2 linked regions of the Caenorhabditis elegans genome follow. The protein of the gene in region 1 interacts with the protein of each later gene in a pairwise test. Each region holds a gene or a part of one and is shown on either strand. Other genes may lie near its edges.

What was found. Proteins that work in one complex are often made in the same cells at the same time.
Region 2: the proteins of adbp-1 (region 1) and adr-2 interact in a two-hybrid assay, tested with the Caenorhabditis elegans proteins (2 studies listed by BioGRID).

The regions. Positions count from the first base shown.
Region 1 is NC_003280.10:11,441,899-11,446,298, reverse strand, and holds adbp-1 (Adr-2-binding protein 1), read right to left. Parts: upstream 2,138-4,400; 5' UTR 2,130-2,137; coding exon 2,051-2,129; intron 2,003-2,050; coding exon 1,889-2,002; intron 1,840-1,888; coding exon 1,752-1,839; intron 1,695-1,751; coding exon 1,520-1,694; intron 1,474-1,519; coding exon 1,343-1,473; intron 1,290-1,342; coding exon 1,223-1,289; 3' UTR 1,193-1,222; downstream 1-1,192. Other genes in the region: W02B12.13 (uncharacterized protein), read right to left, coding at 1-132, 819-891, 942-990; ebp-2 (Calponin homology domain-containing protein), read right to left, coding at 2,511-2,779, 2,828-3,122, 3,177-3,425, 3,475-3,561. UniProt on the Caenorhabditis elegans protein: Required for the A-I editing activity of the double-stranded RNA-specific adenosine deaminase adr-2 by facilitating adr-2 nuclear localization.
Region 2 is NC_003281.10:7,229,960-7,235,526, reverse strand, and holds adr-2 (Double-stranded RNA-specific adenosine deaminase adr-2), read left to right. Parts: upstream 1-2,644; coding exon 2,645-3,054; intron 3,055-3,107; coding exon 3,108-3,447; intron 3,448-3,499; coding exon 3,500-3,733; intron 3,734-3,777; coding exon 3,778-4,107; intron 4,108-4,180; coding exon 4,181-4,354; 3' UTR 4,355-4,488; downstream 4,489-5,567. Other genes in the region: ndus-8 (putative NADH dehydrogenase [ubiquinone] iron-sulfur protein 8, mitochondrial), read left to right, coding at 1,346-1,405, 1,454-1,598, 1,672-1,759, 1,980-2,325; R151.10 (uncharacterized protein), read left to right, coding at 4,596-4,728, 4,775-5,343. UniProt on the Caenorhabditis elegans protein: Catalyzes the hydrolytic deamination of adenosine to inosine in double-stranded RNA (dsRNA) referred to as A-to-I RNA editing. Acts primarily on non-coding regions of protein-coding genes including introns and untranslated regions (UTR).

The DNA.
Region 1 (4,400 bases):
GTTTCTTTCGGCTCTTCTCGTTTTTCCTCGCCTTCTGCCTGCTTCTCGAATCCCCACGCATTGTGCTCACCGTAATCGTGTGGAAGATGACGGTGGCGATGACTCCGTTTTTGAGAGTGTTCATGGTGTGTTCTGAACTATAATTATTAATTTGTTTTTCAAGAAAATTGAACCCTGCTTTGTGTCGATTTACGGCACTAGTGTACTCCCCGAGGAGAAGTGTACAGTTTTTGCAGAAATTTTAGACAGAAGAAATGGTTTATGGTGAATCCTTATCTGTAAAGATAGGGATATGGAAATTGATAGCAAGTATGTGAAATTTCAAGCTTGTACCACAATCACAGTTCGTGGCGAGACTCACTCAGAAAACCAACGTGTGCCTTTAAAGAGAATCGTCAAATTTTTATGGCACTACGATAAATAACTAATTTATTTATTACGGAAACACAAAAGTTTGAGAATTTATTGTGCAACATATTCGACGCGCAAAATATCTCGTAGCGAAAACTACAGTAACTGTTTAAATGGCTACTGTAGCGCTGGTGTCGATTTACAGGATCGATTTTCAAAACTAATTTATTTTCGAATTGTGACAGCGATATTCAATTTTCGTTCGTTATTTAAAAAATATTTTTTGCCATTTTTGTGTCTTTGAAACAATTTTATCGATAAATAAATGATTTCCGTGAATCGGCACAAGCACTACACTAGTCATTTAAAGAGTTACTGTATTTTCGCTAGGAGATATTAAAAAAATTTTGCGTAATACGCATTCTCCCTGTTAAATTTCTGACTATTCTCCAAAAAAAATAACTTACAATCCAGCATTACTCGAAAAAGGATCTGGACGATCATCTAATCCATATGGAAATGGATCATATGGAAGACTTTCTAAAAACTTTCTCGTGAACTGAACTCCCAGCCGAAAATAGATTACTAACCTATAATTGCAACTAGGGAAATAAGAAATATCGAATAATATTTTAGCATTTCAAATATATTGAATGTGTGATAGGTGGAAAATGAGATGTATTTCAGTGTAATAAAGAAAAGGTGTAATAGATGATAAACATGATATGACCAAATAGAGAAAGGGATAGGCTATCAGCTGTTTCAATTTTTGAATTTCCTCGTATTTTCTGAAAACAAATAGTGCAGGAATATGGACTGCTTTGAAATTTGTTTTCAAAGAAATAATATATTTATTACAATTAATGATATATTAACAATTAACAATACTTGGAGCCTCTTTCTCGATTGTAGCCGTGATCGCTTGTGTGATTTTTTGTCTGAAAATAAAAAATAAATGTTGAATATTCAGAACAGCGAATTTTTAACATACGCTGTTTCAGCATCGCATCTTCTAAGAACATTGGCGACTGCGGCCGCGTAGCCAACAAACTGATCACTGTCATTGTCCTGTTTCTTCAGCTTTTCCACTATTTCCTTCACGTCCATCTGTCGAGGAAGAATCTGTAAATTGTCGTTTTATTAAAGCCTAGAGCGAATAAGTCTTTACCTGCGTCTCGACGCTTCCCTTCTTAATATTCTTGACACCCAAGGACTTGAACTTATTGGCGTCTTGAGCTAAGAGCATTGTCAACTGTCCTTCTTGAAGTTGATTTACTGTCCATTTCGTGTTAACAATCTGATTCAAACTCGTTGGGATCGGACACACGCTTGCAGCTTCGGGACTGAAAAATTAATAATTTTTTAAAAAGAATAATTCAAATTTAATCCTTAATTCTTACGTTTCAAAGTTTAAAGAAATTCTGCCGGGAGTATCTTGAATTTGATCGAGAAGTTGTGTTGCTGCTTTTCTCGCCGTCTCGTCAGTGACTAAAAATTTATTTGTTGAGAAATTGAAGAATTATTTGAAATTTTATACTTTGCTCATCGCCACGTGTCATTTTTGCCTTCTTTTTTGCGATTGATGATGTCGTATTTCGTCGCTTAAGAGAATCGTGTTGAGGTTCAGGACGAGCAATCATTCCCCAATTTTCTGCAATAGAAATTAATTATTCTACTGTTTTTTCCTCAAGTTTTAAACCTCTGCTAACTTTGTCTCCACTGGAAACTTCGAAAAGCTTGTCGAATGAGACCGGCGTACATCCACTGGCGAAGCTCATTGTGTTCTCTGAAATATATTTTTCTGGATACTTATTTAAGAAAAAAATATCTCAAAGTAGCTAATCGATAATTAACGTTATGGCGGAGCAACGTTGTGGAGTCGGCTTGTTTCAGAGATATCAATGTTGTGTCTGACAATTATGTTTTCATACAAAGATATAAAAATTGCGATTCCTTGTTTATTTCCAAGGCTTGAAATAAATAAAAAATATTCGCCGAATATGCTTATTTTACAGAAAATATGAAGTGATTGCTGATAATAAATTAATGTGGAAATCGATGGCACATTGAAGCGGGGGGAGTGTGCTCTTAAAACGAGCAGAAATTGATGGGAATCGTGAGTATACGGGGATAGGATAAGCAATGGGAAACAACAATATTTAGAAAGTCTCCGTATCGTCCAGATTTGCCTGCAGAGACTCGACAAGATGTTCGTTTTCGATTTCATCGACCTGCTCAGTGTCCTCGTTTCCGGCGTAGAGAATCGTCTTCAGAGCCGCCACGTCGACCGTACTGGAACCACTCTCCTCTGCTTCGTTGGCAAGACTTTCGACACGCTGAAGAATTGAGTAGTAGTATTCTCGTTCTGTCTCCATTTCCTTGGCCGTCGTCTCCCATTCATCACTGGCGGCCTTGTGTTTCTCGATTTCTAAAAACAAAAATTTAATAATAGTACAATTATCACGGAATCTCAAACCTTGTTTGAGAAGTTCTTCGCTTGCAGATGGGTCAGCGCGTCGAGTTCCGGCTGATGTCGCTGGAGCGGGCCGGGTGCCGTTGCGAACTGTCGGTGGAACTGATGCTTTCACAGCTGGAGCCGCAACCGCTGGCGCAGCAGGCCTTGGCTTTGGCGGAGCGGCAGCCACCGGTCTAGCAGGAGCAGCAACTGGACGAGAGCCTGTGGATCCTTTCAGAGCGGGCAAGTCCTCTCCGAATCGAGCACCAACTGCATCATATTCTTCTGGCTCCGTGGTCAGGTTCGCATTGTAGAACTGCAAAAAAAAAGTTATTAAAAAGTTATTATGCCTCTCACAAAAAGAACGTACCTTGTAGAACCATTGCAAAAACTCCATGTTGTCCTGGAACTTGGCCTTCTTCATTTTCTCGACATCGACCGGCTTGTCAATGCCGAGATCCTTCCAGGTCGTTGTGAGCACCTTCCAATTGTTCAGAACATCGGGCTCGCTCCGTGGGTTGAATTTGACCTTCTTCAGGTTGATGGCGTTGAACAAGAGATGAGTGAGCTGACAGTACGCGGCTCCAGACGCCATCTCTTCCACTTTGGTGAAGTGACTCTGAAATTTGAAATATTAAATAATTTGAACATTTCCCGCAAATTCAAACCTTGAGTAGGTTATTGACCCAAGCAACTGCTTCCTTCCGGCTCAGCGTGTCAGTGGTCACAGCCGAGATGAACACGTTGACGACCATTTTGCCTCGGTTTCTGAAAACGACGAGATAAATCAATGAAAAAGTGGAAAATAAGAGGTCGCCACGTCTGCTGCGCGGAACATGGAAACATAAAGATTGTAGGACACAGACAACGAGACAAACAGAAGAAGGAACGAGGGAACGAAATTTTGGAAAGCAGAAATGCTAACCGCACTGACTAGGGAATGACCAGAATAAATGGAGCGATATTCAAAAAAAAATATTGTATCGGAAAGCTGACATTCTCTACTATAAGAATATGACTGAAATTTTTGCCCGTTCGGGCTGGAAATCTGAAATTTTTACGTCTGAAATTCTACACTGAAATCAGTGCATTTCCTATGGTTAACAGTGGATTTTTGTCTCTGGCGCCAACAGAAGTCTCACCACAATGGTGGAAGGGCGAAAACATCGGTTCGGTGGTCGAGTGGTGAACGCGTTCGCCTCTTGAGCAGAAGTTTGTGGGTTCGGTTCCCATACATGGTTTAACTTTTGGCCTTTTTTATACAAAATTTTCAGAACGGGAAACAAGTATTTAGAACATTTTTTTGAGGGTTTTACATAATTTTTTTGCTTTTTAATTGAACCATAATTACCCTGGAAACTTTTCAGAAATTTTAATTTTTTTCGAAAATTGTCACTTTTTTCTCCACCAAACCCATGAGAAAATTTGATCGAAAAATTTTTTTTTGAAATTTTTTAAAAAATGCATGAAATATTTTAGAGTGTCACAAATAACCTATTTTTCATTATTTTCAATGACCGAATCATTGATTCTGATGCCTTATCAAGACGTTTTACCAAATCGATATTGGCAAAACATCTTGTTTTTGAGGCTC
Region 2 (5,567 bases), on another chromosome or scaffold:
TTGAAGGTTTACAGGAAATTCCCTAGAGGTATCAAGGGTGACATTGGAACGGCAGGGAAGGAATCCAGCGAGCCAACAAGAACAAGTTTTCAAGTTTCGGATAAGACCTGGATAAGGAAAGGATAACTAACGGAGTGGAGAAAACCGCGGTCGGCCACGAGTCGCGAGATTACTTCATAACAGACTACAGGTAGTTCTTTTTCGGGGTCTTTTAAATGGGAAACGGCCATAATCCCCAAACTATAAACTATCCTAATTAACATAATTTGTTTTCAGATCAGTTCGCCATTTTTAGGTATTCAGGAGACATAACGGAGAGCGGCAGTGAAAGATCTCGCGGGCTCTTGTCAAGGATTTAGGGAAATTTCGGATTGTTCGCACGTGGGTGGAACGCGAAAACAGAGGGTTGAGAAGCGACGATCCTTGTTTGGGCAGCAGACGAGCTTCAAGTATCAGATCTACAGGAGTTGCCAGGATTATCGATTCACGTTGGTTTACCATTTTACCTCTTTTGCCACCTTAACCAATAATAAGTACTTTCGGTCCGTCCTTTTTCGTTTTTGCAGCACGTACTTCAGCACAGTCGGCTCCATCAGCAACACCAGCAGCTCCTGCACAGTCAACATCATGTCGGCAACATCGAACGATCGGGCTCTTCACGACGGCGTCAGCACATTAAATTTCCCCAATTTATACCGTTCGTGGCCCTCATATCGTTCAAGTTGGGCGCCTGGCGCCCAACTGCCCCTAATTTTCTACTTTTGTCACGACCTGTACCACACGCAAAGCCCATAAATTCTGTAACTCAATTTCCTCCTTTTCTCGTACCTCATTTCTCTCGAACGGAGCTAGGAACAAGGGAAAACCTTTTCTCGGGGGAGCGCAGCGACCCGAGAATATATATTTATGAGAAGTAAATTGAGAAACAAATATTCGGAAGCAAACTTGAGAACAGTTTTCCTAATTTCTCAAGAAACAAAGCATTAAAGTAAAATTATTGTGACAATAAGCGTGCTTAGAAACACTAAACGATAAAATTATGTTATTTGACAAATATTTAAACATAATAACAATATAAAATATATAAATTGAAAGGCTAAAAGTATTTAAATAGATATTTGGGAATTAAACTTTGTTGGAACGCAGAAGTTGCGCCCTTGGTTCATCGTTGGCGCGTTTCTCGTGCACCTGCAGGACATGTTTGCGTCTTTCTCGCTTTTTTAATATTTTTTCGTGTTCAATTTTATATTTATCAATGTTTTTCTATTATAAACACTTCATTCCAATTAAATTAAATGTAGTCTATCAATAATACGTTTTTCAGTAACTTAACCACGCTGTCAAAATGGCGATGAAAAGTGTGGCAGTGCTCACAAAAGGCATGTTTGGAAGAATTCCGGCTCAAGTGAGATTTTCTCATTCAAATATACGTTTCAAATAATCAATTATTTAGCTTGCCGTCAGCAGTGTTCCTTCCAACACAATTCAAAAGAGATCCAACTACAAATTCGTTGGTATGCCCAATGAAACCGATGGAACACTGGCTGGAGATTTGAATTACGGGCTTCACAATGTTTTCTTCACCGAACTTTTCAGAGGTAATTTTAAACTAAATTTGAATCAAAATTATTTTGAAGTATACTGTGTGAAGGAAAAATGTCAATTTTTCAGGTTTCGGAGTGATGCTTGGTCACGTATTCATGGAGCCAGCTACTATCAACTATCCCTTCGAAAAGGGACCACTCAGTTCAAGATTCAGGTACAGAAATTAAAAATTGAAATTAAATCATAAAGCATTTGTTATAATCAGCTTGGAAGAAAATAAGCATATTTTGGTTGTATTTTAATAGTTTTCAAAAAACTGAACAAACTTGCACCTTCACACGACACATATTCGAAAATTCTTTAATTAAAAATATTAATTATTTAGTTAATTTAAAAAAAAACAAAAATTATTAACAAAAAAATCAGTATTTTAGAGGAGAACACGCTCTTCGTCGATACCCGTCTGGTGAAGAAAGATGCATTGCTTGCAAGCTTTGCGAAGCCATTTGCCCAGCTCAAGCTATCACGATCGAGGCCGAAACAAGACCTGACGGAAGTCGCCGTACCACTAGATACGATATCGATATGACCAAGTGCATCTATTGTGGATTATGCCAGGAAGCTTGCCCAGTCGATGCAATTGTCGAGGGCCCGAACTTCGAATATTCGACTGAAACTCACGAAGAACTCCTCTATAATAAGGAGAAGCTCTTGTTGAATGGTGATCGCTGGGAGCCTGAGCTCGCTTCCAATCTTCAAGCCGAATATCTTTATCGTTAAGATAATACGAATTGTGGGAAATGAGAAGAGAACATTTTAAAATACCTGATTTTTTCGTAGCTTTTTCGCTTTTCCGTTTTCTGTTGTCAGATGATTTATTTTTAATTTTGAGGTTTTAGTATTTGTTCCCCTTTTCTGATAACTTCCGAATTGTAGATGAAAAACAAAATATGTTATATACTTTTATGTTTTCTCTATGTTTTTCTTAAATATCGTTCACTAGTCGATGTTGCTCTATTGTTTTTTCGATATCTCAAGGTAAAACTGTTACACATTTCCTCATGTGGACTTTTTGTTCCAAAAATTATTCGTAATTCAGATGTCCGTCGAAGAAGGTATGGAAGTTGAGTTAAAGTCAGAGAAAATGGATTTGGATGACAATATTCCCGACTTTGTGAAGGAAACTGTGGAAAGAAGCGGAAAGAATCCAATGTCATTATTCTCAGAGCTTTATGTTCATATGACAGGCAACACTCCAGTTTTTGATTTCTATAACAGAAACCAACCGAACGGATCCATGAAATTTATATGTGTTGTAATTTTAAATGGAGAACGAATCGAGGGAAATGTAAAATCCAAAAAGAAAGAGGCAAAGGTGTCGTGCTCATTGAAAGGACTGGAAGTCGTGCTCAAGCATGTTAGCGAATACGTTGTGCCTGCTGTCAAATTTGAGGAGAAAACCACATTTTTCGAGATGCTCAGAGAACATACATACGCGAAATTTTATGAGTCAGTGGAAAAAATAATTCATAGTGAATGTATCCCTTTTATTATCATTTTAGACTTTGTAAGAACAACGCCTTAATCTATGGATTCGAAAAAGTGATCGCTTCTGTTTTCCTGAAAATCAATGGAAACCTCCAAATCATTGCTCTCTCCACTGGAAACAAGGGATTACGCGGAGACAAAATTGTAAACGATGGAACAGCTCTCATAGATTGTCATGCTGAAATTCTCGCAAGAAGAGGCCTTCTGAGATTTTTGTATTCCGAAGTTCTAAAGTTCTCTACAGAGCCACCCAATTCAATTTTTACAAAAGGAAAGAACGCATTGGTGCTGAAGCCAGGAATTTCTTTCCATTTATTCATAAACACCGCACCATGTGGAGTTGCGAGAATAGATGTAACTTTTCAAGTATTAATTTTTGTAAATTCTTCATTTGAATTATTTTCAGAAAAAGCTAAAACCCGGAACATCAGATGACCTTCAAAATTCTTCTCGTCTTCGATTCAAAATTGATAAAGGTATGGGCACAGTGCTCGGTGGTGCTTCTGAGTTTGAAGCTCCACAAACATTTGATGGAATCATGATGGGAGAACGAATGAGGACAATGTCTTGCTCTGATAAATTGCTTCGAGCAAATGTACTGGGTGTCCAAGGAGCAATATTATCACATTTCATCGATCCAGTTAGTTTAACCTGATTAGTATAACATGAGATCTTGATTTTCAGATCTATTACTCGTCAATCGCCGTTGCCGAGTTGAACAATGCAGATCGTCTCCGTAAAGCAGTTTACAGCAGAGCAGCCACCTTCAAACCTCCAGCTCCATTCCATGTTCAAGACGTGGAAATCGGAGAGTGTCAAGTGGAAGATACTGAGCAATCAACTTCTGCAGCAGCACGATCCACGATTAGTTCGATGAATTGGAACTTGGCTGATGGAAATACAGAAGTTGTACGAACATCGGATGGAATGGTTCATGATAAGGATATGAGCGGGGCTGACATCACGACTCCATCCAGATTGTGTAAAAAAAATATGGCAGAACTGATGATTACTGTAAGCTGGGGGAAAATAAAAATAATTTTCTTGATGTTTTGAGTGTGAAACTCAACAATTCCTTCTATTTCAGATCTGCACGTTGACAAAGACTTCTGTGGATTATCCAATCTCATACGAAGAACTCAAAGCTGGATCTCAAGAATACGCTGCTGCAAAAAAGTCGTTCATTACCTGGCTGCGACAGAAGGATCTCGGAATTTGGCAACGAAAGCCACGAGAATTTCAAATGTTTACTATAAATTAATCAATGCAATTTTACCTTTATTGTATCAAAAGTTCAATGTGGTTCCACTTTTAAAAATCTCATGCAGCATCGTGTATTCATTCCATTTTAGCTGTTAACTCTTAATTTCTGCATTAATTAATTGTTAATCTTTTATTTTTTGGACTTACAATTTTCAGTGATTCGAGTTACTTATCTCGGAGTTGAATATTATTTAAGGAAACGAAAACTGGAATAAATATGTTTTTATAGAAATTTCCAGATGCCTGCATCAGTGACCCATGTGATTTTCGATTTTGACGGTCTTCTCGTCGACACAGAATCTGCATACACGGAAGCGAATATGGAGCTTTTGAGAAAATATGGACACGTTTTCACAATGGATTTGAAGAGAAGTGAGAAGAAATATCAGAAATATTTTTATTTTAATATAAATTTCAGGGCAAATGGGAAAACGCCATGATGAATCGATCCGATGGCTAATCAACGAACTGAAAATCGGCGATCTTGTGACACCGGAAGAGTATTCACGTCAATACGATGAACTTCTCATCGAAATGTTCAAAAGGAGTCCTGCGATGCCTGGAGCTGAGAAACTGGTTCGTCACCTTCTTCATACCGGAGTTCCAGTTGCATTGTGTACTGGATCGTGTAGTCGCACATTTCCAACGAAATTGGATAACCACAAAGATTGGGTGAACATGATCAAGTTGCAAGTTTTATCGGGAGATGATCCTGAAGTGAAACACGGAAAACCACACCCAGATCCATTTTTGGTGACTATGAAACGATTCCCACAAGTTCCAGAATCGGCGGACAAAGTTCTTGTATTTGAAGATTCGTACAATGGTGTCTTGTCGGCACTCGATGCTGGAATGCAATGTGTGATGGTTCCAGAACGATCGATTTTCGACCCCGATTCAGACCCAGAATTCAAAAATCGTGTGACTGTGATTTTGAATAGTTTGGAACAGTTTAAGCCAGAGGACTTCGGATTGCCCCCATATTAAATATATCATATTTTTCTTTCAAAAAACTGATGGTTTACTTCTATCTGTATTCGATCGTACTTTGTGATATTCACATAACCATTTTATATTTCTAGTTGTTTTTTTTTGAATATATTTTTGCAACAGTTTATTTCACATTGACTCTTTCATCGATCGATAGTGTTTGAGGCACTAATTATTATCTTATTTGACTTTCAAAGTTAAGGCAAATATATTATAACTGA